Oreochromis niloticus: one gene and its partner. The protein of the gene in region 1 binds, or shares a complex with, the protein of each later gene. Links are inferred from orthologs where the notes say so. Each region holds a gene or a part of one and is shown in the gene's direction. Other genes may lie near its edges.

The links.
Region 2: coq7 (region 1) and coq4 share a complex: the UniProt entries of both Homo sapiens proteins name them as parts of the multi-subunit COQ enzyme complex. The link is inferred for Oreochromis niloticus from reciprocal best matches to the Homo sapiens genes COQ7 and COQ4.

Annotation. Positions count from the first base shown.
Region 1 is NC_031971.2:33,875,231-33,891,790, reverse strand, and holds coq7 (NADPH-dependent 3-demethoxyubiquinone 3-hydroxylase, mitochondrial), read left to right. Parts: upstream 1-9,199; 5' UTR 9,200-9,354; coding exon 9,355-9,439; intron 9,440-9,775; coding exon 9,776-9,957; intron 9,958-11,314; coding exon 11,315-11,429; intron 11,430-11,605; coding exon 11,606-11,745; intron 11,746-12,981; coding exon 12,982-13,050; intron 13,051-13,467; coding exon 13,468-13,545; 3' UTR 13,546-15,046; downstream 15,047-16,560. UniProt on the Homo sapiens protein: Catalyzes the hydroxylation of the 5-methoxy-2-methyl-3-(all-trans-polyprenyl)benzoquinone at the C6 position and participates in the biosynthesis of ubiquinone.
Region 2 is NC_031972.2:20,607,399-20,624,548, forward strand, and holds the start of coq4 (ubiquinone biosynthesis protein COQ4 homolog, mitochondrial), read left to right. Parts: upstream 1-10,817; 5' UTR 10,818-10,884; coding exon 10,885-10,948; intron 10,949-12,560; coding exon 12,561-12,716; intron 12,717-13,706; coding exon 13,707-13,803; intron 13,804-14,901; coding exon 14,902-15,004; intron 15,005-15,121; coding exon 15,122-15,251; intron 15,252-15,768; coding exon 15,769-15,862; intron 15,863-17,150. Other genes in the region: traf2b (TNF receptor-associated factor 2), read right to left, coding at 1,204-1,278, 1,439-1,513, 1,620-1,781, 3,713-3,811, 4,060-4,138, 5,210-5,385. UniProt on the Homo sapiens protein: Lyase that catalyzes the C1-decarboxylation of 4-hydroxy-3-methoxy-5-(all-trans-decaprenyl)benzoic acid into 2-methoxy-6-(all-trans-decaprenyl)phenol during ubiquinone biosynthesis.

The DNA of each region.
Region 1 (16,560 bases):
CAAAGTGAACACACCCCTTTTATATAAACTAGCCTCTGTGTCTGAGCTTGCCCTTGAGGTAAATCTAAAATCTAATTTGTTAAAGGGTGTACTTTTGACTCCTGGGTTTGTTTATGTGCCTTCTTGAAATAGTCTTGTGTCGGGTAGCAAATGAATGTGTCTCCATTGGCTTCTTATCATAAACAGTGGTTATTATGTGACTGATTCACTCATAAATCCCTGGTTTGATGATGACTGCCTGAACATGCATATATTTTCGATTTTCCGACGGTGAAAAACACATTTAAATATTTTCTCTTATCCCTTCAGTGTATAAAAAAAAATCACAGAAGGAATACTGCCAGACAGACAAGGGCCATTTAACTTGTACCAGACGACGCTAAATACACTCTCTAGTGTCCATGAAAACAGGCGGTTTAGAGTGTGATTTAGGTCTGCATGGTGCACAAGATAGTTTTTCAAGTGTAAACAATTCAATAATAGAAGAGAAATCACTTTCCTCTGGTTGTAATTTTGTATATCTATAAAAAGGATTAGAAGGGATTTTAGGAGACTTGGTGAATTTGAATCAGAAAATGAATCTCTTTTTGTTTTATGAGACATCTTGCCTTTTCCAGAGGAATACCACCAAACCCTAAAAGGGTTGGCTTTTTAAAACAAAGTTGCATAACTTTAATTTATTTCTCAACCTACTTTTGCAACAATCTGGGATGACTAAGTGTTGTTTTCAGGGAGAATACCGTACTTTTAAAGAATTTACAATGCTAAGGACAGACCAGACTATATTTGTGACCATTAACAACTCTTCTCGAAGATCATAAATAAAACCAATGTGACATGCACAACAGTAGGCGTTAAAACCACAACTCTAAAGGCCATCTAAGGGCAGTGATTTTGCACTTTGCACTTTGACCTTTCACCTTGGTTTTTAAGGAGGTGTTGTAGAAGACTACACCTTACCTTGCAGGCTGCTTTGGAATCAACATCAACAGCTCATGTCTTGTCTTTTATGTGGACTTTGTTACACACTCAATACAATTAACAATGAAAAAAACTGACACACAATACAGTGTGTGTGAGTGAACACAATAAAAAAAGATCAAGACAAAAGCAATAAGACCAACATAAATGGTAAATGGCCTGTATTTGTATAGCGCTTTACTAGTCCCTAAGGACCCCTAAGCGCTTTACACATCCAGTCATCCACCCATTCACACACACATTCACACACTGGTGATGGCAAGCTACGTTGTAGCCACAGCCACCCTGGGGCGCACTGACAGAGGCACACTGACATAGCACCACTTACAACAATTTTGAGTTACTCTATCTATCTATCTATCTATCTATCTATCTATCTATCTATCTATCTATGAGTGGGATTACTACATTAAAAGGAAAGAAGAAAATGGAAAGTATGTAATAAATTTGTAGTAAATAAATCTAAAATATATGCAAAATATGCAAAAGCTTTTTACATGCGAAATGAAAATATCATTAAAAAAAAAACCCATCGCAAATTGTGATTTTATATTAGATTATGAAAATTCAGAATATATAATATTGAGGAAATTTGCCCAATATGTTAAGAAAAGCCACTACAGGGCTTCTAGTGTTAGGATTTTCTTTTTAAATGTCCAGTTTTAAAAAGCCTACAGCATGATCTTCTTGTACAAGTATTAGTTCCGCTCTGCATTATGCATAGAAATGAACAACTTACCTTAAACTGTATGTGCTTTCTTTCAATTTCACGTCACTGGGACTGTGTTTATTGCATTTTCATCTATTTTGATGAAACTGTTCTGTTTGAGTAGGAGGAGAAATGATGCTTTACAAACAATGTTATGCAATACGCATAACTGATGTGGAGAAGTGGAGCATTGTGTATATGCTTCTACACCACATAATGAATCCTGCATCACTGTCTAGAAACTATATTTGGACTTTCTATTTTGCATTTTCATCTATCATATTTTAAACATCCATTGCTCAGTAAGTATGAAAGACAGTGAGATTAGAGCGTTATTCACATTTTACGGTTTTAACGCCATTACCGCAAGACAAATACAGACTGTAGTGCGTGGAAGAAGGCCTCAGATGATTTCTAAATTAAAAGCTGCATGAAAGCAGTGTGTTTATTTTGAATGATATGTAGTCCTTTGTGTAGTCAGCAGATATTCAAACTTTCCAGTGATTTTTTTTTAGTGACATAAGAGTTATGCCCGTAAATAACAATGTATAACCCTGTATTACATCAGCTATGTTATGTCACTCTTGATTTCTTGGAAATTCACTTGTGTTTGTGACAGGGGATTTCTAAAAATCACCCCGCAGTTCTTCAGCTAAGACACCTGAGTTAGAAAACACAAACACTGCAGTTTTCTTTACTCGCGAGGACGGTCACAGAGCGCTCGTATTCGCAGGAGACACTCACGGACTCGCGCTCTGTCACCGTCTGCTTTCTTTATTTATACAACAGGAATTAATACATTCGTTCAGTGACATGAGCATGTGCATATGTGATTGTGTGTGTATGTGTGTGTGTGTGTGTGTGTGTGCAAGGTCAGAACTGCTTGTTCAACTTCTTACTATCGCTGTGGAAAGATTCAGATACAAATATCAGAACACGTTTCATAAAGAACAATCAGTTCTAAGCAACAAAAAGATCATCATGCAGCATTCTATCACAAGTAAACTTATGTCATTAAAAGCTTATACTGACTACTAAGTACAATTTTCCATTGACAGTTTGTATCTGTGTAATGCCAGGCTGGGCAACCAGACAAGGCATGTAGATGCAACCACCAACCTGGAAAGTTCAAACACTGGAGTTCAACTTTCTAAAGAATAAAACGGTCACAAGAAGAATTACACTGACAGTCTGCAACCGTCACTGACATACAGTACCGTTCCTCTTCTCTATCTTCTCTTTTCCTCTTATCTGGTCATGGCAGATGGCTGTATCTCCCTGACCGTGGTTCTGCAGGTGGTCTCTTGCTGTTGAAAGGCAGTTCTTCTTCTTAAGTAAGTCATAATTGTCCGATCTTTGGTGTTCTTGCTCTAATACATTAAGCACATTACCTTACACTATAAACCACCTTAAGTTACATGTTGTTTTGAACAAAAAGTAAATCTAATGAGTAAAACTGAATTAAAAGAATTAATTGATTTTAGTAAACTAATCCACACAGATCAGATACTTAGGAACATGAACTTTACAGATTACTGGATTTATCCAAAAGTACAAATGTTTTGAAATAATTCAATATGGTTTTTTTTCCAGTTTTGAGTGGAGGTAAATCACACAAATCTAAAAAAGCTACGCTTGGCTGCTCCCTTGTCACAAGAGATAACCACAACAGGTACATCAGATACCCCCAAAGGAGTTTGTGTCTCCAGCTGGAATCAAACCAGCAACCATTTATTTGTCAAACAGTTTTTAATCTGTATCTGCCTTATTTTGATTTGATATACGATGGAACCCCTTGACACATATCACATCAAATTAAGCAGCATCTTTTACAGTACACAATATCTGCCCCAACAGATAAACTTGCTCTTTAATTTAGGTGACAATTAAGGTTAGGGTTAGGTTAAGTTAATTAATGAATTCCATCTATCCATCCATCTGTCCATTTTCTTATAGTTGCCCAGTTATGGGTCACAGGGTGTCTAGCTGTGATAGGATATCACACTGGGAGCACACTAAAGCACACTAAATTGGTCATTGAGAATTGGGCAGAAGCTGTGCTTAAAATGGGCTACCAACCAGGAAAAAGCATAAGAAAGAAGGTTCAAGGTATTATACTACCTACTGAGGAGAAGGTTCATAAAGGAAAGGGAACAGTTAATGCTTAGGCTTCAGAATTTTCCTTAATTTGGCCCTTCTCTAAAAACCTTTGTCCAAATTCATCTTTTTTTAAAGGGGCATCATGTACAACATAACTTATGTAAACACAGACACTGACGCATTCTGCTGTCATATATTCTACATCTGAGTAAATAGCTAATTTGACTTTAAAGTCATGCGTACACACACACACATTTTGGGAGTCCCACCGCACGAGTGAGGGACCAAATGAGACAAGACCTATCATGTCTCCTCTTGCTGAGAGCAGACATTGTTGACTCACTGTAGTCTAGAGGCGCTTAGCCTGCGTCCAACCACAGTTATGCACCGTCTGACCAGAGCCTCAGAGCGAGGGTGTGCAGACTCACACACATCCTTGGATGCATGTACACACTACGCAAAGAGACACACATACATACAGGTGCACATAAAAGACAGTTTTACTCTTCTCCTGCTCTGTGGTTTGTTTTTCAGTCCCCTCATCGGTCACACCTGAGGATTTAAAACTTTCTATTGGTCTGTACTTTCTTTTGTGCAGCTGAAGTTTTGAACTGAAAGTTAATTAGTTCATGTATGCACTGTTATGTGAAACAAAATGTTTATGCCTTCATAATAATGTACATCTGTCAGACATTTGCTTAAAGATGATCTAAAAGCCACTTGATTTATCGTGTGATGCCTCCCACCTCTGTTACATTGCCCCAGGCAAACATTTGGCCTGGGTTTTCTAGCCCAGAAAACCAGAATACAAATATCACTTACATGCTGTAATAACAATGAAGTACAGTTTAGTTGATGTATATAGTTTTATGTATAACTTTGATTGAAACCAGTTTTATTAGGTGTGTGCAAGATGTCAGAAAAGTTAGACTACAATAATTATGGTCTTCATTGTCTGCAGCACTTTAGTACTACTCTCCACCAAAGAGCTGTTTAACAAGATGTAATAATAAGTATAATAAATTATAAGAAACAGTGTTCATAAAGGATCAGATCATTTTCATGATGTAAGAACAACGTGGCAATATGAAAAGAACCTCTTCTGTTTACCTCTCTGGCCCACAGCTATGCTGTTTTAGATTACTCTGATTGCTATGTGTAGTGTGTTGTTTTCAACTATAGCGGGCAGCTGTTTTAGTGCTGTGCATTTAGGAGCCTATAAGATAAATATAGCTTCAGAATTTGTAAGATACCAAAAAATAGAGCAAAAATGAGTTAAATGTCTGACTTGCATTGACCAGCAGGCAAGAGATGGTAACGTCTTGTTGCCATATTAATATACAACTTGTATTTTCCCTAAGAGGCCACAAAGAAAATAAACAAGCAAACTAAAACAATAGTCCATATGCAGATAGATGGTATCTACGTCCTTCTGTAGATTCAAAGAAGGTCTTTTTTGTCTTTTTTAGCTGAACTTGACCGTAGTTGACGGTGGAACTTATCAGCTGAGTGTAGCTTAGTTATTAATATGATATTGTGATATTAAAGGAAGCTAAATTTGGAGAGTGGCACAACAGTGCAGCACACCTTTACTTCACAGCTTGGGGCTGTGTGTTTGCATGTTCTCCCTGAGTTTGTGTGGGTTCACTTTGGGTACTCCTCCTTCCTCCTGCAGTCCAAAGACATGCATAGGGTTTAACTGGTGATTCTAAATTGGCGATATGTGTTAATGGGTATCACTTGGTGTTATCCCTGTGACAGACTGGCAACGTGTTCAGGGTGCCCCACCTCTCACGATATAGTAACTGGGGTAGCCTCCACTGCCCCCAAACCTTGAACTGGATAAGTGGGAGAAGGTGGATGGAAGAATTAGTTTGGGCTAACAGAAAACTATTTACTGGATAAACCCCAAAGCGCCATATACTGTCTTTTAACACAGCTGAATGCTGAACATGAGTAAATACCACCCACCTGATATAAAATGGATATATAAAATGATATAAAATGGCCACATAATTAAGCAGCAGTTTAAACCTCAATATAATTTAAACTCGTGAATTTCTATAAAAATTCACCCCTCCATAAAAGTCATAAAATTAAAAACGGTTTTATTTTCTTTACTTGGCTGTAACTTTGGGCATTTTAACATGGGTGTCTATGGTAGTTGACTTGGCTTTGGAGGCAGCTTCGAGAAGTCATTCCTAGCAGTTCTAAACCTGCTTTATTTATCAGCCCTCCCACATTATCGAGATAAAACAAGATATTAACTTGTATCCTTAGTAACCAACTCCAAAGGATCAGCACAAAATTATACTAATGCAGGACAGATTTAGGCTATAGTGTAAATTCACAAAGAAATATAGACAATTATATTTCAACTATTTAAAAAAAAGAAATGACAAAATCAACCCAGGACCTGTTTGGGTTTGTATTCCTGGGAAAGTTGCTCACTTTAATCTAGCCTCGCTCACACCTATGGCCGACACACCAGCAGAAAGGACAAAGGCAAACCACATTTACCGACGTGCAGCCACACATATGTAGCCACCCACAGTCAGACAGACAGATAGGGAAACACATAACCGGGCGTCTCACCACAAACACACACACAGACAAAACCGACACACCCCACCATTCACTATCCTGGCCTTGTTTACTCATGACCATCGCAGCTATGCAGCAGCCGACCTCATCATTCCACAGATTCCTCTGTCCCAACTATTTTATGTGCTTTGTCAAAGTAGTTCTTTTGTACTCATCAAAAGCAGGAAACATTTTACTAAATAAAAGTATGAAGTAATATCCTGAAAGGGAATAACATTGACAGGTGGTGGGTTAGGCCAAGACCAGCTATTATGATTTAAGGCGGTGACTTTCGCAATTTTATTTTTTTTTTATTTAAAATAAAATTTAAAAAAAAAAAAATGCTGGGAAGGCCTCACTGAAGTGCATATCAACAAGTTGAAACTGCCATGGAATCTGGGACCAGCTGGAGAGGACAGAGATTGCTTAAATGTCTTAATCTGTGCAACACTGCCATCTGTTGACTATCAACAACATCTCTAGTTGCTCCTGAAAACCCCTAATTTTTGTCGCTTGAATGTTTAGTCTTAAATTCTGTGTCACTTTCGGCTGCTCCCTTATATAACAAGCCTAAACAAAAGGCAAACTCGTGATTTGTTTGACGCAGAAAAAATGAGCATGTGCGACCAGAAGGTAATTTTCTCTTCTCTATTTACTTTTTTCTTTAAATACTTGTTTTCCTCCCACAGGGCAAAGATACGTAGGCCGAGTGAACTGGTTGAACTCTAAATTACGTGTTTAGTGTGGATTTGTTTGTGTTGTGATATAATCCTGCGACAGGCTAGTGACTAGTTGCCCAGGATGCTGACCCTGTGAACCTGCACAGCAATAAGCAGCTAGTGACTCAGTGGAGGATTATACAACAGATCACTTTGAGTCCTTCCTGGTCATACCGAAGCAACTTTCTTCTTGCACCAAAGAACTGCCTGCAGCTTTGTGCTGAATATTTTAGGTATAATGATTTTTAATAAAGTACTTCAAAGCTCAGTGTGTTTTCTTAATATGAGCTGGTATCTTTGTAAGCTATGCAATATTTTAATAAAAATATTCTAAACTGCTCATGCTGACTGCAAGCCTCACATTCAAAATCAACAAACCAAACCTTCAGACAAGGTAGCTTCATTGATGATCCACTGCTTCCAGACCTTTATTAAAGTCAAGAGAATTTCTGATTTCCAGTACTGACAAAAATAATTACAGAAAATTTTAATATAAATCAGTTCTCTTTAAGGTTCTCGCTATTGTTTTAATAAAATGATTGTTAAAAAGCATGCCATCCTGTGACGAACCTTTAAGGATATTTTGATCTGTGTGCAAACAAAGAGACATGTTTGGATATGCAAAAATACATGCACTATAATTTTGGACGGGGGCAGGAGGGAAAGAATTGTTTGGGAAGTGACTAAATAGTAAAAGAAATAGTGTTACATAAGGAAACACAGAGGTCTTTAGCTCATTTTGTAGTGGTTATTCTGACATGTTCTTCTCTCTGGTCTTTATTTGAAAGAAAATTAGGTTTTATTTCAGTTATAGAAACTATTTTTCAAAAGGAAATAAGGCAGATATAGATTATGATTGACAGATCAAAGGAAACCTTATTTTTAAGGTGTTCTTTGTTTCCAAAATTAAATGCATTGTAACAGTATTGCAGTGGATTGAACAAAATAAACTACACAGGGACATATTATTTTCAAACTGGCTACCTAAACAGCCCAGATACACTCTGTTAAACACACTAAACAATAGTGCAACTACATCTTATAGAACTATAGGTCAGGCTTATATGGGGAGTAAATCACAAGGGGATAAAGTACAACATGTAAAATCCTGAAATTAGCCATTCTGATGATGAAGTTTTCCTTCTTGAGGCATTAACTAGTATTTAGTACAGATAAACAGAAGTTTGAGTCTGGGCAGCACATGGTCGAGTGGTTAGCATTGTCACCACATAACATAAAGATCTTGAGTTTGAGTCCTCTGGTTAACTGGGGCCTTTCTGTGTGGAGTGGCTGTCCCTTTTCTGTCAGTTCTTCCAGAGAACTCCCTTCCTGTTACAAGGGAGTTTTTCCTTACCACTGTTGCCAAGTGCTTGCTCATAGGGGGTCATCAGATTGTTGAGGTTTCCTCTGTACTATTATAGGGTCTTTACCTTACAATATAAACTGTCTTGAGGTGGCAGTGTTACTGTGATTTGTCAATATATAAATAAAATTGAATTTAAATGAATTTTCCATGTTCTCCATGTGCCTGCATAGGTTTCCATCGGGTACTCCAGTTTTCTCTGGCAGTTCAAAGACATGCTCATTTAAGTGTTTTTCTGTCTCTATATATTTGCCCTGAGTTGGAGTGGCAATCAGCTAGGATAGGCTTAGATAGGCTGGGATGCAGGACTTTAACTTGTATTTTAAAACTGTTGTATTGCTACTTTCATTTACTGCATATTAGTATTCCATACTCTTTTAGTATAACATGCACAGCAAAAACAGCCTGAAACACCCAAGCTAGTTTCAATGCCATTTGGAAGAATTTTCAGAATTTTTATTTTTTAACCACAGCAGTCCTCTTTAGAGAGCAACAGTCATACGAAGGCTGAGGTGAGGGGACAACTCACAAGAATCACTACTCCTCAAAGATTATTGGACACATTGTAGTGAAACAATGTTATTTTATCCCGAACGTGGCTGTTCAGAAACCTCTTTTACTTCTCAGTTTATTTTACTAATTAGTTTGTGCAATACACCCAACCAATTATAGCAAAACCTATAAATTTATCTCTGTGCTTCATACATTAGAATAACCAGTAACTCGGTGGGTGGTGGTAACACATCCTAAACGCTAGTTGGCGCCCGCAATTAAATAAACGAAGAAGAAGAGCAGACGTCCGTTACGTGCAGTTACTGGCGTTCAATGTCAGTTTGATGCATGTTTTTTTTTTTACGTTTTTTTAATTACACATCTAGTTAAATCATTACCGGACTATCATGCAGACAGCCGCACTTAGAGTTTTTTGCCACTGGTCTCAGAGTAACAGCACAGCGATGATTCGTCAGTGTTTAAAATGCAGAGGTAAGCAGCGACACCTGGGAGCTACAGTGCTACATGCTAAAAACACTTATCTAACCCTCACAGTATGTAACGTCTATCAGTGCATACTAGTGTTACCCAGTGTTACACTAGACTGGGTCTACACTTGTAAACGTAATGTAGCCTAAATCAAATGTTTGATAGATTACTCGTCATTGTCAGTTTTCTCAACTCAAACTCTTGACATTTACTTAGTTTGTAAGTGAAGTAAATGCGTGACCTTCATAGTGGGCACTTAAGAGTCGTGTAATTATAAATGTTTCAGCTTCAAGGCGGTTGACTGAAGGAGCTTTACATACGTCTTTTACTTTGTTTTAGCACTAACTCTGCAGCAGAGCTCTCGCGCTTACGGTGTAATTCCGCCCCCGCGCGACAGTGAGGAGAAGGAGATGGTGCACCGGATGCTGCGCGTGGACCATGCTGGAGAATATGGAGCCAACCGCATCTACGCCGGCCAGATGGCAGTGTTGGGTAGATCGAAGACTGGGCCATTCATTCAGGTATTAACCAAATAAACTGATAATTTCATTACTTCTGTGTCACGTCAAGATTATCATTTATTAAAAAAAATAAAATAACAGGGGGGTTCAGCCCCCAGTTGTTGCTGTGGGTAAGTTTATTGAATTATTATAAATTTAAACATAACCTCAGCTTTTACAAGAATACTCAAATCTACTTTTAATTAAATGATTATGCACAGTATTCCTAGTGTCATGTTTGCCTCTTTGGACAAATGCGATCCAGTCGAACGTAACAATCCATTTAAATCTTCCTTCTTCTTCCTTCCTCTTAAATACAATATTTAAAATGAAGTAAGCCGAATGATGCAGTGAAAGATGCCCGTACTAGGGTTGATCCTCTCCATCAGCCTTTCACAGCAGCTGCAGCACCATCACGTAAAGCCAGTAAACCGTGCCCGTGATTTCTGCAGGATCTTGCAGACAGCAGTCAGATCTCACCGTTGTTTGATGTTAATTCTCAGGCACATGGTTGATAAATAGAATTTCTAGGGGTTTTCTGAGTCTCCCAACATTCTGAATCCAGTTCATTTCTCGTTTATTTAGTTAAAAAAAACTTTAATAAAACTTATTTAGCCCAGGCAGGGACATATAGACTCCCCTGCAAATTACATCCTGGTTCTACAACCTGAGAAGAATTGTCACATGATTACCAGTTAACCATATAAAAAGTCTAAATTCCCACTGACTGCCACAGATCTTTATCCTAACGAGGACATACACAAGATCTTTCCTTCACAGTCAGTTCTCTAGACATGGCATATAGAACTAGGAATGGTTAGAAATCAAGGCTAAACTAACAGAGGCCTTATTGCTCATCACTGAAAGAACTTATCTCATGTTAGCTGCTGCATTGGATAGCTGTTTCTGTGTGCAGATTGCGCTTTAGCCTCATGGTCCTGATTTATCGTTTAATATAAATGAAAGTGACATTCATATCTCCACACCTCAAAAGTTGTAGACAGCTGTACACTCCCCCCCCCCCCCCCCCCCCCCCCTTTTTTTTTTTTCATGGAATGCACTGCAAAAATGTCAGTGACAGAAGACTTTGAGTAAATCAAACATGTTCTTTGTTGTTACCAGGTTTAGGAAAAGCCTAAAGAAGTCTGTTAGCAGTGTTATAAAATTGTATATGCTTATAGAAAGATCAGACATAACAAGAAATCTAATGTATTTCTATCAACACAAACATATTACCTTTCTTGCATAACAACCAATCATGCGTACGTACTTGGTCCTCTCCATATAAATAAAGTTATAAAAATGTTAAAAGTGTTCGTATGTTTTCATCATGAGTATATGTCCATAAATGTTGACACTGTGCTTTTTTCCCCTACAGGAAATGTGGGATCAAGAAAAGAAACACCTTGAGAAATTCAATGAAATTCTTGCTGAGAACAGAGTTCGCCCCACAGCACTGTTACCTTTCTGGAATATTGCTGGGTTTGTATTAGGTCAGTACAGCACATAAAGACACAATTTTGCTGAGAAGATAAACAAATGCATCAAAGAGTAATGATTATTGAATTTCACAATGGCTCCCTGACGTGTCATTAACAAGTGTATAAACAGTAAGCAGTAGGAAATCTCTTCATTAAATGTTAACAGCATGCATCTCTCTCTTTTGAAGGGGCATCATCTGCATTACTGGGAAAAGAAGGGGCCATGGCCTGTACTGTGGCAGTGGAAGAGAGTATCACTGAACACTATAACAACCAGATAAGAACTCTGATGGAGAAGGACCCAGAGAGATACACTGAACTGTTACAAGTGAGTTTCTTATCTCTGTAGCTCTGCCCTGTGGTTGCCCTTTACTGTGCATGAAATTCATATTGTTCATTATGAGATTGTGGCAACAGCTGAGTCTAAAGAGGTGCCACATGCGATAATATTAGGCACCTGCCACTCCCAAAAAAAGGGATTAGAGTCTAGCATACCAAAATGGAAATAAATGTTGAATGTTTTTGATTATGGTGATTGTTACAAGCCACGCTAAATAATAATTAATCAGTTAAACTCAGTGTCAAGCTAGTTAATACAGCTTTGTGCCTATTCACTAATCGCCTGTTACTAACATTACTACATTTAAGTAAGAGTTATCTGACCAGCAAATAAATAAAGCCACGTTAATTTGTGTTTGACCAAACTTTGAGGAAAATTTAGTTCAATGATGTCTGTATCCCATTAATCCCAATATGAGTCTGAAATGGTCTTGTTCTTTTATAGTTAGCTTGTGCATATTTCTAATTGCATTTATTAAAAAATTACAACTGTATTTGTTGATTACGTCACTCATTTATTATTAAGTGTAATCCTAGCAGCTGGATCATTTTCTTTTTTTTTTCTTTTTTGCATGTAAGCCAGCCACAGTCAAACCTCTGGCACAGCCTCGTTCTCTTCCTGGATCACTGTTGACTTTCAGTGTTAAATCTATTTGTGGGTGGAATTTTTTCTGTGTATTTAAGCAGTTCAGTACAGTTCAGGTTTACTTGGAGAGTTTTACAGTTTTATAGGCAATTTCTCCAAGGCTATGCAGCATGATTTTTGACATTTTTGACTTCAGTGCTTTCGCCATTACACAATTACATCACTTAATGGCTACTGACATTTGTTACTGGGCACTGATGCAGGTCGAAGTTTATTTAACTTCTAATTTGGACAAGTTCCACACACCAATGCAGCTTCACAGATCATAGAACATGGAATAAAATTGGCATTTCACCAGTGGCTTTTTCATATATACTGTCAAGAGCTCAAGACTGACTCTCTGGATGTTTTCCAGATGGGGACAAAGCACTTTTCAGCACAAAGCAGATCTTATTAGATACACATTTTCTGATCGTGGTATATAAAACTTTTCATGACTGATTTATTTGCAGTTACTTTGAAAAGAAAATGGGTTTAATGTAACCAACTCAAGACCAAATAACTTGAGAATTTTGTGCAGTGAAATTTAATTAATTAATGTATTTAATTAATTTGTTTTATCATGCATATTTTTAACAGGTGATAAAGGAATTTAGAGATGATGAGATGGAACATCATGATACAGGACTGGAGCACAATGCTGAAAATGTAAGTGTATTTTATGTCTTTAAATATAATATATACACACTGCCAGTCAAAACTTTGGACACACTTTCTCATTCAATGTTTTTTTTTCTTTATTTTTATTACTTTCTACATTATAGATATATGCTGAAGACATCAAATATATGAAGCAAGATATATGGAATTATGTAGCAAAGAAAAAAATGATAAATAACTCTTGCATATCTTATTTTTTAGATTCCTTAAAATAGCCTTTGCTTTGTTGACAGCACTGATAAACTTTTATATCAATTAGAAAAATGACTTCACACAATAAATAAATATTGCTTCATTAGAGTATTTAGCTGTCTTTACAATTTTTAAGTTGTTGAAAGTACTGCTGCCTAAATGTGTGTTTTGTGTGTGTGTGTGTGTGTGTGTGTTTTTCCTCTTGTGTTTTAGGTACCTGGATACTGGCTATTAAAAAATGCAATACAGTTAGGTTGCAAAGCTGCAATATACGTTTCCCAACGTATCTAACGCTGTTCTTAAAGCAACTGAATTGTTTTGTTATTCTGACTCAATTTTGTAAATGACTTAATTTGGACTTGTGTTCTCACTCTGCATCTTTGTAAATGTAAATGAAGTACTTCAACACAATGTACCTGATCATATCTGTTAAAATAGAGACACTTGGTGTTACCTACTTTGGGTGTTGTTTACAGTACATACACAGGCTCTGGGAGGCAAACATTTCTATAATAAATGTCAGGTCTTGCTTCTGTTTTCTGAAGGCAAATTTTTACTTTTGTGTTGTGTTACTTTTGTGCTTGCTGCAGGAAGGTCAGTCTGCCTGTCTGAAAAGTGTCAGAGTGTTGATGAGAAAGTGAGAAACTGGTGAAATAAAGATACTCATGGACTTGAGATATTTCCATGTGTACATGTATCCAGTGACCCCCACATACATAACATATTTTTCATATAATTGTGCCTTAAGTTGCTTCAGTGTTTCTCGTATCGGCAAGAGCTGCAAAGACCAATATTTTAATAACTTTTAGCTGCCTTTGACCAAAAGCTAGACTCCCTAAACACACATGATAAGAACATATTAATCCAAGTACAGACACACACACACACACACACACACACACAACCACCACTACCACCACCATACCATTCAACTCCTGTTTCACATGTAATAGTTCATATATCAAGCTGAGCAATGACTTGTCATCCAGGCCTAACTGCTAAGCAGCCTCACACAGCTGTTCTGGGTACATTAGGTCACTGAGCAAGAAGGCTTGTCCAGGGGCCCCTAATATTCATCAGGTTGTGCAGCTTGAGCCAAATGTTCATTCCCCCCTGACTCAGTATCATTCTGTCCATATGTCCATTCAGTTGTGACCCAAACCTGATTTCTCCTAGTTTAGCATTTTCTGAGCATGAGCATATGATACATGCTGACTCATGGCCAGTAGTGGGGGTATTAATCATCTTGTTGGTTGAGCAGATAATAATGTTATTTAAAAAACTGAAAATCTGATATTTATTCATTGTATGTGAATTGATAAATATAAAAAAATAAAAACAACAGACAGAGTCATAGTAAAATGTTCAGTTTGATTGTGCCATCATAAGAGGTTCAGCCTGCACATGTTAGATTAGATATTGAAATATGCAGATTTCACTTTCAGCTGCTTTTTAATGGTGGGTGCCTGACTGCAGGTCAATCTTTACATTTGCTTCATGGGTTAAATAATGTTAAATAATTTGTAGTCTGCATTATCACTGTTAGGTGTTTGTGACTCACTAAATAAGCCTTACAGAAACTAAACCAGGGTGTATTCATGAATGCGCTACAGCAGTGTTTTTAACGGGGGGAGGGGAAAAAGTGTTTGTGTTATATTCCAGTGAAAACTGAATGCCAGTTTTTCTGACTACTGCTACTGGAACGCTGTCAACTCGGGTATGACGTCATTTCCAGCTCCAACGTCCGAGGTAAAAGGAAAGCACCAGTATAACTTTGTGCCTTTTTCTTTGACTCTTGGTAGTTATTTTAGTTTGGTAGTCTATGGGTGAGGGTCATATTTTGAAACCAGCCTCAAGTGGCTGCTTGAGGAACTGCAGCAAGACCTTTTAATGCATCACATTCGAGCCCTGGTTGGATGCGCTTTGTGAACCAAGCTAAGCACTTCATCCTCTCATACGAATACAGTTAAATCTGGCAAAGAATCACCAAAAAAAGCTAATTCGATGCTCCAGAAAAGAAAGGAATTGGCTCACAGTGGATGAATGCTCGCTACAGCCACTTTATACATAGGGTGAACTGTATTTATAACTAATTCTTTTTCCATTTTACCTGTACCTGCTTGCCTTTATTGACTGCATGTTATTTGATTTTCGTGACCAAGTAGTAATTACTGTGAGCAAAGCCTGGAGTATTCTCACGATCTCAGGATAAGATGGAAACGCATGACATTCACTTTCATAATCACAGGAGGTCACCCACTATAGATCAGAAACATGAGACAGTAGGCAGCTTTGCAAATCAAAGGTAGATCATCATACATTATCTTTGAACCCGATTAATAGTGCTGACAGTTTTATCGCAAGGTGTAACTGTTTAAATAAAGCAACATATGTAAAGCTCCTTTTATAGTGTAATGTTAGCTGATGAAATTACTGGTATATAAAAAGACGAGTGATGACTTAGTCACAGTTCTGGTGTTAATAACCTTTAACCTTATAGACTACATCTAAATTATCTACCATATGTAAACACAGATGGTGTGCTACATATATATATATATATATATATATATATATATATATATATATACATACATATAAGAGAGACAGAGAGAGATAACAATGTCTGCACATTCTGGTCAATTCTTCAATCATTTAAAACCATCAGGAGATCATGTGCATTGTTTAGGTTCTTTTCTCAGTATCAAAAGGAATTTGCTGAAACACAGACTCAGAAATTGGCAACAAGAATTTGAAGAGAGCAATAAAACTTTACTAAACTGGGATTGTCTTGCTACCATGAATAATTGCAGTTGTAAATCTTCAGCAGCACGAAAAATACAAATCCCTATAAGTCATAAAATCTTTCGGATACAGATTTTATTACTTCTTGGCTTTAATAGTTGGTGTTTGCCAGTAATAAGGCCTTTCTGGGGTTTATGGTAACTAATAGCAAAAAAATACTTCTCTAGAACTGAGAGCACAAGGAATTAAGTAGACAGAATTTTGCTAGTAGTTTGATACAATTTAATGAATGTCTGGCAGCTTTCAACATGTGTTCTTTCTTTTAAATTCAAATACAATCACTTTTTTTTTCAAGAGTTGATATACATATATGTATATGCTATGAAAGACTCTCTGAAGATGCTCTATTCAATATTCAGCGAGGTTACTAACCTGTTACCGATTAAACTAGTTAAATGTGAGATGTTTCACCATGTTTCATGTGTTTTTTGTTATAACTTTTTATTTAAATGTGTTGCTACATCAAATTCAAAATGCTGCATTAATATCTAAAAATAAAAT
Region 2 (17,150 bases), on another chromosome or scaffold:
TATAAATAATGTGTGTGTATATATATCTATATCTATATATAGATATAGATATATATAGATACATTTATATACACATGGTAGAGGACCCAAGCTTGAAGGATAGACCGCCCGCAGGGGCGAGCTGGGAATTTTTTATATATTTTTAAACAGGTTTCACTTTTGAGTATTTACATGCAGTTTCTTTTGTTCTGTTGGCTCAATGAAAGTAAACCCAATTTAGATAAAGCTTAAAATTGCTCTAAGCATGTGTCTGGAGGCCTTTTAAGATGCCTGCTGAGTAGTGCTGATTGCTTCGAGAAGAACTGAGAAAACAGCCTTATCTAATCTTTTAGAGGGCTTCCCGGCAGCATGAGCAAACACCTCCTTAACTGCCACCATGGTTTGATTCAAAGGCTCCTAAGCTCTCATTGGTGCTTGGGTGTAATATCATATCACATCACATTTGCCAAACTGAGCTCAGCCAACTTTAAACTACTGACAAAAGCACAAAGCGCGAAATATCTCATGTGAAAGGGTCACGTGACTAACCTCAGGGAACACATTAGGAAGAAGGAGATGAGAAAATGCATTTAATAGCATTGAATCTGCTCTGCAATGAGACTAATTTATCCAATGACCCCCACCGAAATCTTTTCTGTGTGCAACATATTCTAGCTTTCACGAGATAACTCACATCTATCTGTGCTCCAAATACAAAGCAGCTGGTGGGAGATGATTAGTTTAGTGGAAACTCCCTGGCTCTTTTGGAAGTTAAACCTCTAACAGTGGTTTTAGACTTCTTTGTTAAATCTACGCTTCTGAAACCCTATAATCAGTATAACTACACATAACTACACAGCCTGCACAGGTATAAATACTGGAAACAGCATGTGCTGCTTACGTAGGCTACATCATACGCTCTACTCAGATTCACTGCATACATCAGGCACAAAGCAGGCACTCATTATATCTTATGTTGATGGAAAACAAAACAGTAAAAACACCAAACAGTGATGCTGTGACTTTAGCCAGGCCAGCTCCTTCATCTGATTCCAACTTCATAATTTACTTACAACAGCAAAAGTATAAGCCACATTACTACCTTACTGTAAGGTACTTACATTTAGACTCCTTTTTAAACCACAAATAAGCACCAAACTACTACAACGCAATGACAAAAATGAGTTTGATCACACTGAGAGGTGATTATGTAACTGCACCTACCATAGACTTGCAGCCCACTTCACTGAATGGACACGTGCTCTTTGACTTGGCGCAAGACTTCACATGATCATTGAACTGAAAGGCAGAACGAACAAAGAGAAAAGACCATTTATAAACAGTGCATCAACAGGAAAGTGGAAGTGAAGGACTCCTAGTCAAAAAGAAACTTATAAGGAGACTTTGGGGAGTACTGACCTAAAACCACTTAGATTACATTGAAGGTAACAGTGCTAACCTTTTCTCTTGGTATCTTCTTTTTTCCACAGTCCTTGCATTGCATGGGAAACTTCAGACAGATCTCATCATGGGCCTGAAATGCATCGTAAAGCAGAACGTCACTTTGTGTCCATTAATGCCAACAAAGAAGAAGAAAAACAAAGAACAGCGTATTTTAGTGTAGTCTCTCTATGTCCCACCTTTATCTCTTTGAAGTTGAAGGTCATCTTGCAGTATTTGCAGTTGAGAGTTCTTGCCTCGCATTCTCTCTCATCGTGTCTGTCCTTCTCCGTGAGAAGGATAAGGGTTTGGCAGCCCTCGCACAGTATCCGCTCGAATTCACAGCGACCTTCGTGCTGAGCCTAAAAATATTAGACATTTTTTATTCGTTATTATTATCGAACTTCCTGTTTGTTATGTGTAAAGCAGGTTTTCAGCATCGTGAAAGAGCAAACTGACAGTTGGGCCAAACCCTTCCCAATCACTGATAAATAACTGCTTTTCAGGAAGTGTTTAAATGAAGGTGTAGTGCTGTGGGTACAGGGTGTATCCTTAGCTTCTATGTGGAAAAACAGGTGGTTTTTTGTTTTGTTTTATTCTTTAAAAAAAAAAAAAATACACCTCCAACTGACAAAAAAAGTGAAAGTAAAAACACAATACACTGATCTGAGTATGAAAGAGATAAATACAGTTCTATGATTGTGCACACGATTATGATCAAGATTATTTTGATATTTAGTTGTTTTTCATTGCAACCCCCATTAAAATATGCACTTTTCTTACTTTCGAATGACATGCTACGCAAACGAAATTTAAACAAAAAGCGAGCTCCACAAACATCTGATAGAAAAAAAAAGGATGAAAATGTACCATAGAAATAGAATTATAATGAAGAGAAGTACAAAAATAAAAAAGTGGAAGTAGAATAATTAAAGAAATATATTTAAAGCTGTGTATTCGCCATTTAAAAATACCGGGAATCACACAGGCGGGGTGGAGCTTAAGGTGGGGTTAATCGACAGGGAAGTTGCCGTCTTTCAGAATGACTACCAAAGGCACGCTGCAGACCCAGAAGCAGAAGCTCAGGTATGTTAGCCTGTTTTTCGCTTTGACTGCTGACTTTCCAGACTTGCTACGCTCAAAAATCTTGAACCGGATCGCGTCAATAAACATGACTCACATTTAGAAGATTCCTAATCTCATCCCTGACCTCGCCACAACACTCCAACGCCTTGATGTGACTATTTTTTTCCCAGCTTCAGAAGGCCTCGCTATGGGTGTGTGCGGCTAGCAATTTGTAGCTTTTTCCACACAGTGACAGTGACTAAGATACCAGACCAAAAGTATTTGCGAAGTGGGTGTATCACACAGCATAATAATAGTTTGTGAAGCAACAATAAGAGGTTGGCAGGTTTTGATCTTTTGGTGCCTTCTTTTTTTTTTTTTTTAATAAGAGGAAGATTCATCTGCATGCTATTGCTTGGGATCCCATTTCCAATCCATGCAAATCCCACACATTAGCCTAGTGGTTTCATTTAAACATCATCATCTTAACATTTCCCAGGTGAAAAACACACACGCGCGCGCGCACATACATGCACACACGCACACTCACAAAATTGATGTAGATTAGGTCACACTGGTACGCTTAGTTAAAACCACAAACAGACAAGAATTGTTGTAAACATCCTTTTCACAGCGTTAGCATCATGGTGCCATCTGCTTACTACACAAACTAAGTAGCTCATCTAAAACTGATGCTTAGAGTAGAAACACAGCTGCAGACAGACACACACACACACAAGGCTCAGTCGCACACACACACTAACCAGCTTTATTTACTTCACGTGTCTTTCATAGAGTTTTACAAACTGCAGTCTGTGTTCAATGAAATCTGGGTTTCTGCTAAACTGAATGAATACAAGCAGTTTCCTTAACAGCTCTATGGTTAATGGTCAGTAACCCAGTCACGCTAAGCTCAACAGGGTTGTTCCATTCTGGTACTTTCCACTGAGCTTTTGTTGATAAATGAGGAGAGGCTGGGACTTTCCAGCTGCCTGTTAAGTTTCACTTCCTGTTTGCAGCGACGCAGCCCATAGCGTACAGAACGTGCTGTGAAAGCTGAGGTTTTTTCAGGGAACACAGTGACCCGGGAACGCAGATTATAGGTCAGATTAACCTCTCACGTAGATTAATAAATACTGACAAGGCTCTTTTTTGGTAGCGTAAACCTACACCCAGGTAAAAGGCAGCAATGCCCATGCCACAGGAGAAGACAGATTTCATACTTTACCTCATACTCTTTAATAGATCCAGTCCAGTTACAGCCCTGGTTCAAACACCTGGCTGGCAGGCTTGCTATTTCTCGGCCTGCTGCATTGTCTGGGAAAGCCTGTGAGGTGGGGGGTGGGGGGAAGGGCAAAAACAAAGAGATCAGTGAACTCATAAAGCCTTCAATGTTCCCTCAGTCTTAAAAGAAAGCAGACAAGAGTAGGATGCATTGTGTGGTTAGGGAAACCCCCGCCAGATTGCAGTCATATTTTTTCCTCTAAAGGGCAGTAACACATTGCATGCTGACTACTCCTAGCATAACAAAGATGGTGGGTTTGAAACCTAACCTGAATAAATATAAAGGCTTACCTCACTGCTGTTTAGAATGGAAATGGGTTCCTCGTATATCTCCTCTTGACGGCAGGCTTCACATGGCTTTGGGCCAGAACTACCAAACAAGACAGGTTTGTGACTTTACTGTAAAAGCAGCTGCTCGACGCCAACAGTCAGCAACAATTTCCTGCTGATCCAAAACTGGAGCAACTGCTGACCAGTGTGGATTACACCTCGAGCAGATGAACATTTAATCAATGCAAGGGCAATGAAAAGAAGCTTGTAAGCATCATATCAGTGGGACAAGAAGAAAAAAAAAGAATAAAAAAAAAATTGCTTTAGCAAGTTTGAAGGCGATTAAACAAATAACCAAAACACACACACACAAGCATAAACAAAGAGCACGTGTGTCCGTGTCACATCACATGGTGAATTTATAACGTACATGATCTGGTTATTTTGAAACAAATAAAAGCACTCAGACAAATCACATGCGAAATCCACACATTTCACAAGCACTTGTGGTACTGTTGTGTAAATGTTTGGGGAATTAACAAAGAGTCTGGCGGTTTTAAAAAAAATTAAATGGTAAAATTCCACATTTTCTGTCACATTTTGTTTAATTATACTTTCATGAAACATTAGATAACACATAACAGAAATGGACATCAACTAGAAATTAATTAATGTATCCATGTATGTATCTGTAACGAATACACATCACAAATACTCGTTACAAATACGTTGGTGTGTCACCTCTTTGTACTTGTAGTGAATATTCATTACAAATCCAGTGTTTTTCCTCATGTATTATTTTTCGTTAATATTCATTACGATTACTCTGTAATGAATTTGAATACATAAGGCACTGAAAACACTGTATTGGGTATTCATTACAAATACACCTCATGCATTAACAATTCACCAGTGTGTGCATGACTCAGAAAGGAAGTTTTAGAAAGAAGACCTTTAGAATGAATCAGCAACACCACATCCTTGTGATTCACAGACATCAGTATTACAGGTCCATCATGTGGGGCATGAGTCTGCATTAATAACTGATCTTGTCTGGACAAAACTCCCAGAGTTGAGGAAAGATGAGGAAAGGATGTGCTGAAGCATCTCCAGTAAGATAGGAAACATTAGGTGCGGGGTAAGCAGTTTGGTCTAAGGACCTCCAGTCTACCTGGTGAGCTGCTTGAAGCAGTGTACACAGAAGCGGTGGCCGCACTGAGCCTGGACAGGTTTCCTGAGGACCTGGAGACATTGCTGACATTTATATTTATTTTCCATGGGCACTGACAGGACACTGAGGGGAATCCCTGGTAAAGAGTTGGGACAGTCCAAAGAAATACGGGCCATTCTTCTCCATCAATCTGCTGCTATATCCTGTTAATGAGAACACAGAGAAACAGCTGTCAACTAACTAAACAGGAACTAACTGCACAGATGGAATCTAAACTACCCAGAAACTCAAACTAGCAGCGAATTATCTACTGGCAAGCTTAACTATTTAAAAGATCACCATGAGAATCTGTATGACCCTCGAGGAAATATTTGTCCATGCTACTGTGTAAGTCTTGGCACAGCCAGCAATGCCACACAAAAAAAGAAAAGCATGGTAATAATATTCAAAAATATGGAAAACCCTGCTTAATACTGCAACGGCTGCGACAAGATCAGCAAGTCAAATGACCTGAAGACATAGGTACTTTTTCTTTTTGAGTTACCAGAAAAAGTCTTGTGAATGGTGGGATAAACATAACTGTGGGAGAAGCAGCATCAGGATATACAACCTAATCTATTTAAACACGTATCTAAACCAGTTTGAAAAAAAAAATCCCCTGCAAATTTTCTTTGTATGTCCAGCTTACAAATAGCTGAGTAACTTTGAAATGTAGAACTTGTTTTTGTTGTACAGCATTTCCAGATAATAATCAGATAAGCATCTTTCTACTGAGAAATACCAGCAAAATAGTTCTCACTTTCTGATGCTTGAGTAAATACGGTGTGAAATGCAAACGCAGCATTTACACGAGCTTTGCTGTTATCTTTAGTACTTCACAGAAAAAATGATGATGCCAGGCAAAAGACAGCATAGCTTTTCTTCCCATGTGTATTTTGAGTCTTTCCTTTAAATACTTTTCCTGCAATGTTGTCAACATTTCTCACCCTCCACAAATAGTTTCTGTTACCTTTGTTTCAGTTTCAAGCTCGCTTTAAAGTGTTAACACTAAAAGATCACTTAAGTCACGGTTTCTTACAGGAATGATACTTATAGGGGTGCTGGCCACAGCTCCACCATGTGCTCAACTTGAGGAAGTTTAACTAAGTAATAGCGGGTACTGAAGGTTTGCGCAGTGATACACAGTGGCGTAAATTAAAGGACGAGAAAGACAGACCATTTTTAAAATCGTTTTAACATTAGCTACTTAAGTCAAATTTACCATTAACCAGGTTTGTGCTCATATCATCCTGTATGTTCTTTAAAGTTTAATGCATACAGAGTGGTGTGTAGTTATAATATTTATACGACCCCTTTGTTAAAATGCTAGGATGCTGTATAAAATGTAAAAAAATTTGCAAATCAGTTCATCTGTATATTGATGAAAATGGCACAAAGAAAATATATCAAATACTGAAATTGAGATTTTAAATGAATTGATGTCTCCAACATGTACAAAGGGAAGAGCAAAGGTTTACATTACTTCTTATTAATTTATAAGCATTCAGGGATCGAAAAGAATCACTGAGTCGTTTTCTCACGCACTTATTATTTTGGTTTTACGATGCAGAAAATGTTTGTTATGTGTTGCATCCCACTGCTCTTTGCAGAATGTGGCTCAACTTGTGTGGAGAAAAAGCTGTTTGGATAGCAGCATGTGTCACTCCAAAATCTACATGTCATTCAGCATTAATGGTGACTTCGCTGGTGTGCACATCACTCAAGCCACGATCACTAATACAAACGACTACACGTATAAGCTAGATGGTACCGTTTTTGTCTTTTAACCTACAGGAGGCTCCATCCATAAATCCATCTATCCATTTCTGAACTGGGCAGTTTTCCACTTTGATGTTTCTGTATCTTGTTTCTATGTTAAACTTTCTAAAAAATAAAGTAATTATGCATAATTTGCAATTTGTGACAGCAGCAACAACAAACTGGATTCATCATTTGTTTCTGCAAGTATTTCTGAGACCGTGCAGCAATTTCCTGAGCTCCCCTGGACTGTTTTCATTTTTTAAAAGCAGATAATGAAATTCACAAATTCTTTTGAAGTTATGCTTAAATTTTCCCAAGGAGTCTCTCTCAGAGTTCTCAGTTCCTCTGCATCTTTACTTCTAAAAGACTAAGACCCAATTACACTGCTGCCTGTTTTCCAATTACCCCAATCAGATGTTTGATGCTTCACCAGATTACACAATTTGTGTCTTGACTTTTTCAAACCATGTTGCTGGCATCAAATTCACAATCAGCTCAACTTTAAAACAAAACTAAATTCTGATGTTCAACATGTAATATCTTTGCATTTTAAAATATAATGTCCAGCAACAATTTCTTTCCAAATAGGAAATGTACTCTAAATGTACTCAATATCTGGGCTTTACATGAATTCAATTTTTAAATCCATTAACTTAAAGCCCCTTTTTGAATATATATTCTACAAGTTATATTATTTTATACCTGGTTAAGTTAAGGCACCAAATTTAGGAAACTCTCATGGTCTTTGGTTAAATTACCTCCTTTAACTGTGTTCAGTATGTCTTAGAAATTATCAAGAGTTTTACTCTGGCAATCAGAAGATGGTAAACATATTTTTTACATTTACACTTAAACAATATCTTCCCTCACTAATTCTAACTGTTTAAAATCATTCTCCCAGTAAAGTACTTTATGGTAGGAAATCATTTCAGACTGAAATATGTGAAGAAAAAAGTGAATAAAGAAAATGCCCAACTGGCAGAAAACTCACCCCACCTGGTTCATAGACACCAGACTATTATGCACTGTCTGCTTCCTAATCACTTATCACTGCCAGTAATCATCTGGCACAGTTCACGTCACGGTTCCTACAATTGTCTACCTCAGACTAAAAGTATAGCATGTAGTGCCAGTTATTTCACCCACTGCATAAAGAACAGCACCAGGGCTTCTTTTGTCCTTGCAAATATCCCTTCTGTCACAGATTTTTGTAAATGTTTATTCTGTTGGTATTATGCAATTTATATATATGTATATATAAAAAATTCCCTTATGAAAAAAATGTGTGGGGAATGTTTAGTGTTTGTTTTTCCCATAACCAGCAGATGACAACTCTTACTGATATATTTCCACACACCCACTGCATGTGTAAGTGGGTTTTACAGGTGTATAAATTATATATAATACATGCCTGCATGTCAAAGAAAACTGCAAAGAATGTGGACAAAGTGCACCTTTGCATGTCACAACTTGAAAATATGGTTGTTTAAGGTTGTGGTGTTTGTAGGGTTAAGGTAACACATTATGTTGTCAGTCTGGTAAAACTGTGTGCAAAAGGCACCCGGCTTAACAGTGCTGTCTCACCATTCAACCATTTATGTTCTTATGTCAAAGCAGGTCTTAAATTGAACAGAACAACACCCATAAAGTAAATGTTAATGTTTAACTAAATGTGAATGATGTATGCAATTCCAACAAAACAGCTCAGCTTTTCCCCCACAAAGAAATAAAGTGGTAAATTCCAAATTGTGTCTACAAAACAGCACAAGTCCTGATGGTCACGAGTTTTCAATGAACTTTCTGCTGACATGGTCTCCAAGCAGAACATATCTGAATCATGTTTTCAGTGGATTTTTCCTTAGACCAATTTAGATCCTTTTCAAACAAAGCGACTAACTTTCATGGGGGGAAGTAAGACCACACAGAAAGTGGATGTTGAATCAAAAGATATATGCGAGGAAAGCCCCTGTTTTAATTTCGGTGGGAGTATTAACAGTGAAACTGGAAATAGTTAACAATCCAACTCCAATACATCACTCAATAAATAAATAAATAAACATAATATAAGTAAATCCAAGTACACATAGCTCAAAAAAAATTAAGAAGCTTTGTGTCCTTCCTACAAACTCGTCTACAAGAATTTAAGTTAGAAACTTTTATGATTTTTTACTTCATTCAGTTAGATGAATCACACTACAGCCAAGGTGAGCTTACTGTCTAAAGATCCAGCTTTTAGAGTGGAACATTTCATTTCATTTTTATTTGAACTGTGCTTCACACAGATTTAACCTCTAAACTGTTACTTAAATCTTAGAAATTTCTAACAAAATGAAATTCTTTGGCATAAATCTAGATTCCTAAACGTTTATTTTTAGAGTTTTACTTATCTCACCCTGAATTAGAACACATACAAATATATGATTTGAATACACTGTTAATAATTTCATATTAAGGCAGGAAATGCTGCTTTTCTTTGGAAGCTCTTTCCTCCTATGTGTATTTATTTGAAAGCAATTCATTTCTGCCACTCACCCCTTTCACATTAAACCATGAGTAACTTGTCTGTTACTGGTATTGCGTAAGAAGTTCAAGCCTAACTTCATTCTTACAAAACTTAACTGAAAGGATAAGGAAACCTGCTGTGAGCGAAAAGGCATGTAAGCTCGTGTTTAGATGTGTCCATAGAAACTTCTGTCAAAGGTTGTAATTACAACATCCATTCAGAGCAATCACTGGATCGCGTGGAAACTAGTCATCTTTGTCAGAGAAATAGACAATGAAACACTGTGCATTGAAATAACAGAAAAAAGAAGTGAAGTTATATAAAGGTAACACACACGAGGCCTACGTACAGCTAAACCTTGCAAAGTGACCTTTGTCATGTACAGCAGCACAAACTTTTCTGTGAAACGAACAACACAACCAGCAACAACGAAATAAAGCAACAAAAAAAGAGTACAAAATTTCAGTCTCAACATTTCAACTTCTGTCTCAGACAAATAACCACAGCTGCTCTTTAAAGCTACACCCAGCGTTGCTCAAAGCCTAAAAAACATCCTCTTCCTGGGGAGACTCGTCCTCTGAGCTCGCCATGTTATTGCCCTGCGTGTTCACGATGAACTTACTGCAAGTTCAGTGTGAAAATGCAGGGTGCCTCAGACCCTTTCTCATACAAAAGCCAAAACCTGAATGTTTACTCACCGAGTTCGCAAAGACTGTCAGCGGATCTTACAGTCGTCACCACCACTGACACAGTATTTCACCTCGTAACTTAGCTACACCCTTAACCACGTAAGCACTGGAAGCTATATAAAAACAGCAGAGAGTAGCAGAGAGCTTCCAGAGAGCTTAGCCACTGTAATGTGGGCTGTTTTGCATCTATTTTACTGGATTAGCTCCTGTAATCATTTTAAGTATTATTTTAGAGTTTGGGCTAGTGCTTTTTTTTAAAGCAACCGTAGACTTTGGCACGTAAAATACACTTTAATTATTTTAATGAGCACCTGCGAAACTTCAAACAGCTAAAATTAAAGTGTGTTTGGTGTTAGGACTTGTACATTCAACTACTCAGATAGCTAACTGCTAGTGAGTTATAGGAAGGGATTCACAGCATGCAAACTGACTAACCTTGGCGTCTGGCCTGTGTTTCTCAACGAGGGGAAAACGCAACTCAACTAAGAGAAGGAGAACTCGCCCTTTATCATAATTTACGGGTGTGTCACTAAGCGCACTTGGTTTTAAGCTGCTGCTAGCGAGGGCGCAGTAACGGCTGGGTTTTTATATGGAAGCCCAAAGGCACCCCTCTCAACGTAGTTTGGGCTGCTCCGAAACACAAAAAAAGTGCTACACTCACGCATGCGTACTACCGCAAAAGAATGTGGCTGCTGATACCCTTCCGATGGATCAACCGGCGGCGACACTGCTTTACAGTTTCTAAAGGTACGAGTTTAAGCAGGTGTCCTCTGTGTTACAGCTTAGTGTTCTTAAAAATAAACCTGGTGGTAAGTTGGTGAAGAAGTAGTGTGGGAGCCTCGCTGTCAGCATGCACCAGGCACAGGGCTACGCGTTACTTAGCAGTATGTTAAGCAACTGTTAGCTTAACATCAGGGAAATGTTAATCATTGTTTACTGAATCACTCTTTAGAAAAAAGCAGGCGTTGTAGCAGGCGAACAACACATATACCTGAAAGTAACTCACCCTACATTGGAATGATCTTTTGACACGTCATCAAACGGTGCTGAATGTCAGTGATTTATAATTCATATAAATGAAAGTGTTCTCCATCTTTGTGTCCCATGTGTTTCTGGTGCCATCTATTCTCATGGAGCTCATGCAGATCAGATGTACGGACACAAAATGTGACGTAAATTAAGCACACGTTTCTGCCAAAACACATACACAAGACAGGACTGTGGCTTCCTTCTTCAGAAGGAGCCAACATTGTTGTCATTATTGTTTTGTGTTTTAGTTTTTGATTTTATCACTTACTTTAATCAGTTTTTCACTTTGAGTTCAGGTAGGTTTTATTGCTTGAAAATACTTAATTTTACTGGTTTCAGTGTTACTTTTAGTCCCTATAATCTTTGTTCCATTGAGGCCATACATTAGAGGAAAGATTTAGGAAAATCAGTGCAGGTATTACAATAAAAACTCATCTGATGGCTGAAACACAACCCTCCATCATATCATATGTGGTTGGAGTTAGAATTTGGGAACTCTATCTAATGGAACATTAGAAATGGAACAAAGACTTGTTTATGAGGAGACGGAGACTTATTTTTACATTATTTGAACAATGAAGGGAGAGAAACACATAGTGGGAAATATTAATTTAATTATGGTTGTGTTTTTTTCCTTTGCTCCATCTATCTATTTATCTTTTTCATTTTTAGATTTATTTACATTTAAGCATCATCATATCATCATTATTATTATTAGTAGTATTATTATTGTTATTATAAAAAAGTAATTATGTGAATGCTATATTCTGCCACCATAACTGTAAATGTGACAACTGTAATATAACAACGAATGACTAATTGTTTAAGTGTTAATAAAAATTAAGTAAAAAAAAAAACATCTTTTGAAAGCAGTTGATTCACATTGTTCAAGACATCTAAAGTCTCAATACACATATCCATCAATGCCTCATCAGCCAAGCTATTATAAAATATTTACCATACTAACAGATAGTAACTGAGGATATTTCCTCTGTATTTTTTAATGTAATTTTAGTCAGTTTTCCAGGTTCAAAAAAGTCATTTCATTTAGTTTTAATCTGTTTCAAAAGTCTAGTTTTTATTTTCATTTTACTTAATTAAAACTTTTTTTCTTTTTTCCCCTGTCATCTAGTTTTAGTTAACTCTAATAACTTTGATGTGCAGTGCAGTCTGTTACTACAAATAAATGCTCTGAATGGTTTATCCTGCCATAAAGGTTTTGGTATTTAGACACTCCACTATCAATAATCTGTTCAGTTATTTTTTGTTATAACAGCAATAGTCTGTATAGAATAGTCCAGTGTTTAATGCCACTCCATCTTTTCCTTAGTAGTTTGCGTTCAGCAGCTGCACAGCAGCAGCACTGAGTTTACAAACATCCACTACGATGGACTGTACCCTGGACATATTCCCACCACCGCCGTTCAAAAAGCTCTCTTGTCCATTGGGTCAGGTGTGGCGGCACTGCAGAACCCCTACAGACATGGTGAGACGCTCATATAAGCATTTCTGCGTGCACTGGTTTTCTTTCTGTGTGTTAGACTATAAATCGGTTAAGATGAGGATATTTAATCAAAGTGCTGTTTACAAGGTCACGGATAAACCTTAAAGCACAGCTGTTTTTGGACTGAGTGGCGTTGGAGTTAACGGTATAAAATTTAGTGCCAACATTTACATTTGAACTTTTTTGCCTTCGTGTCTGAATCACAGTGATCGGAGCCTAACCTTAATTTACATGTATTTTTTTGAGGCAGTGTTTTCACTGTACATAATGTCTTCTTGGTCTCCAAAGAAAGAACAAAATAGCACAAAAATATGTAAGAATAAAAAAAAGCAAAGTGTATTTTTGGCTTCTTGGTAAAACTGATCTCAGCCAGTATCCAACTGATAGGGATGTGAACAAGTCTGTGACCTTGATGTGGCTCCAGATTGGGATTGTTTTCCATTTTTCAGAAATGATACCACTGATTAGATTCTTTTCCCATGTACTGATTAAGCGTTTTGTATTCATTCTCAAGGGCTTATTCTCTGGAGACCTTTAGTACGTGACTTAAAATGTCTTGGAAACAAAAATGAGACTAAATACAAATTACAGCCACATATTAGTTACCCTGAAACCTAAATGAAGGAACAGAGTCTTAACACCTGTCAGCTGACATTTAGTGAGGTTTCTCATGACATTCACTGCTTAGTATCGATTCATGTCCAAAAATAAATTGATAAATAAATGGATTTTTTTTAAAATGCATTTTTCACAGGCACAGAGGTCTTTCCCAGCTCCGTCTTTAAAGCAGACTGATTAAAAGTTTGTGAAGTTTCTGAGTATTGTTTCCATGATGAGTAAACAGTAGTGACCTGTTTAGAATAAACACATGGTTTCTTTACTGTAAATAAAAATATCGTCAACATTTCACTGTACTGTCATGATGTTGCACTCGGTGCCCTTGGATTTCATGAAACTCTGGGTACTTTACAGACATGGTTGCAGTCCTCGGGGAGACAACGGGACACCTAGCGCTCATAAAGCTCAGGGACAGGATGAGAAATGACCCTGAAGGCTACGCTGTCCTAACGTGAGTCAGTGTGGCAGAACGTCAGAGTGCTTTCTGCTTCAGGCACATTTAAAAAAAATGTGAATGAATTTGGATCTTCGAAGGATGCTGTTTAAAATGTTAAAAAAAACAGAATACAGTGATGTGCAAATCTGATAAACCTGTAGTTTATTCACAATAGAACATAGAAAACAAATTAAATGTTTAAACAGAGAAAATGTATCATTTTTGTAATTTGATGGCAGGAACATGACTGGGAATAAAAAGAGCATCTTTGAGAGGCAGCATTCCTCAGAAGTAAAGATTGTCAGAGGTTCACCAGTCTGCAGAAAACTGCATCTACAAGTCATTGAACAGTTTCAGAGTTAATGTTCCTCAGTGTAAAATTGTGAAGACTTTGAGTTGCTCATCATCAACAGTTTAGTCGGAGAATCTGGAGAAATCTCTGTGCGCATAGGCAAGGCCAAAATTGGTACTAGATGTCTGTTATCTTTGGACTGTCAGGCGGCGCTGCAACACTTCCAGAAATCATTTTGAACACAGTTCACCATGCCATCCACAAATCCAGGTTAAAGCTCTATTGTGCAAAGAAGAGCCCAGATGTAGATCTGAACCAGGAACCCTGCTGTCCTCTCTAATCTATCCATTTAAAGTGGATTGAGGCAAAGACAAAAACAGTTCTGTAGTCAGAAAAAATCCAAATTTAGAATTTTTGGAGCGAAAACATGGACGCTGCAAGACTAAAGAGGAGAGTGACTATTCAATTTGTTATCGGTGCCTGCATCTCTCTCTAATGGTATGGGAGTGCAACAGTGCACATCTGGAAAGGTAACATCAGGCAACTGAAAGGTATATAGAGATTTTAGAGCAACATATGCTCCCATCCAGATGATATCTTTTTCAGGGAAGGCCTGAAAGCAAGACGATGCTAAAGTGAAAATATGACAAAGAAGACCCAGGACTGCTGAGCAGCTGGAATCCAAAAGTCCAGCAGCTGGTCTCAGCTTTTCTATATGGTTAAGCTTGCATTGCATTGTGTTTTTATTTATATTTTACACAGCATCCCAGCTTTTTTGGAATTAGTGTTGCGCTTTATTATTATTTGATTTGATCTTGCAGAGAAAGGCCGAGGATCCGGCTGTCTACGCTCGATCTGACAAAGATGGCTTCGCTGCCTGACGGCTCCTTTGGGAGGGAATACCTCAGATTTCTGGAGGACAATGTGAGTATTTGCTGATGTGATGTGCATATGTACATGTTTTTTTGTGCATTTGTAAACACTTATTGTTTGATATAAACATGCTTCCTTCCTTCTTCCGTTTTTGAATTTTTCCCTCAGGATGTGACTCCTGACTCAAGAGCAGACGTGAAGTTTGTGGACAACGAGGAGCTAGCTTATGTCATGCAAAGATACAGAGAGGTCCACGACTTACTGCACACCTTACTGGGCATGCCCACTAACATGCTGGGTGAGTCGAGTTCTGTGTAATCTGAAAATGCTATTTTCTGACATTTACTTTCATCTGCAAAGTAAAAGTTCATTTATAGAAACTTCACAGCCAAGCCATGCATTGTTTTTATATAGTGCATACCTAATTATATGTCAGTGAGAGTTATTCTGTGCGTGTCTGAACAAATGTTTCCAGTTTTACAGCAAAACTGGATTTGAGATTTGAACTTCATTGTTTCTCTCCCAAGTTTTCTCATCCAGTTGTCTCTGCAAACCTACAAATCTCTAAACCTACATTTTAAGTCCATTTGATATGAAGTGTTGACCTGAGCTTTCAGTTTTGCAGGCATCTCCTATTTGACCGATTCTATATCAGAATAAACCTGCCAAAAACTCTGAGAAGAGAAATAGGGTTTACACAGAAGTTATTTTTAATACACTTAAAAAAAACTGTTGGCTGACAACTTCTCCTTTTCTTTCTCCTAATTTAATCTTTAATTTGCATGTTTGTGTCCTTTTCTGTGTCTTCCGTTCAGGTGAAGTCGCTGTGAAATGGTTTGAAGCTGCTCAGACTGGGCTTCCCATGTGTGCTCTTGGAGCTGTGCTGGGGCCACTACGGCTAAATGCAAGGTATAGTTGGGATAACAGGAGAGTTACAGTTTGACTGACTTGCTGAAATTTCTGTAAGTGTTGGGTTGAGTCTGATTACAGGCTGCCGTCTGTTTCAAAAAGCAGGAATAATGTTGAGTTTAGAGCTAAACTCCTTATATGATAAACTCTGAATACATTAACCTCGTGTTAAGTTTGTTTGCAGGTTATGAAAAAATGTGACATCATCAGTGGAGCTCTGATACCAGGATTCTCCATTTTAATACAGTATTTCAATTCAATTCAGTTTCATTTATATAGCGCCAAATCACAACAACAGTGACCTCAGTGTGCTTTATATTGTAAGGTAAAGACCCTACAATAATACAGAGAAAAAAACAACAAGACTTCCCACCAATGACCAACAGGGCGAAAGAAAAACTCCCTTTTAACAGAAGGAAACCTCCAGCAGAACCAGGCATCTGCTGCTTTCAGTTGGGAATGACACACTGAAGAAAACCAGAGATTAATAATAACTAATGATACAATTATAAAGGTGCGCTCTACATCCATTACTATTTAATCACAAATCGGTCACATTAAAGGCTAAAAAATGTATATTTAACTGGAAGTTCAACATGAACATCGATGCGCTCTGTTGCATGCTTTGATATTAAAGGAAATTAAATCAGAGCTGCCTCAGCAAGAGGGGAAGAGTCAGAGAGAAACTCAGGGCTCAGTGAAAAACCCCGCCAGAGCATCTGTTACCTTGGTAACTAAGGCTACGTTCACACTGCAGGCGAAAGCGCATCAAATCCGATTTTTTTGACCCTATGCGACCCATATCCGATCATGGTATGACAGTGTGAACGACACAAATCTGATATTTTCAAATCCGATCTGGGTCACTTTCGTATGAGGTACTGAATCCGATACATAGCCGATGTTTTAGAAAGCGACTGCTGTTTGAACGGTCATGTCGCATTAAATCCGTTTTTTACGTCACTGACACAAAACAGACACCAATTATCAGCGCCGGAGAAGCGCCCGAGAGGACATCGCGAACGCTTCCTGGCCATCCAGTGTAGATGTTAGTGAAACTGTTGGGAACACAACGTGAACATTTTATTTGTACTGTATAATCTGCAGATTCTGACAGAAATCTGCAACTATCCTTTGAAACACCGCTCCTCTAAAACTGCAATAAGGATAATTATTAGGTTATTTACATTATTATGTAAATAACAAAATAACTTGAAGCAAAAATTGGGAAACGTAAAGTCCGAAGTCTTTATATTAAGGGCCATCAGTCAAACACTATTGTTTGGTC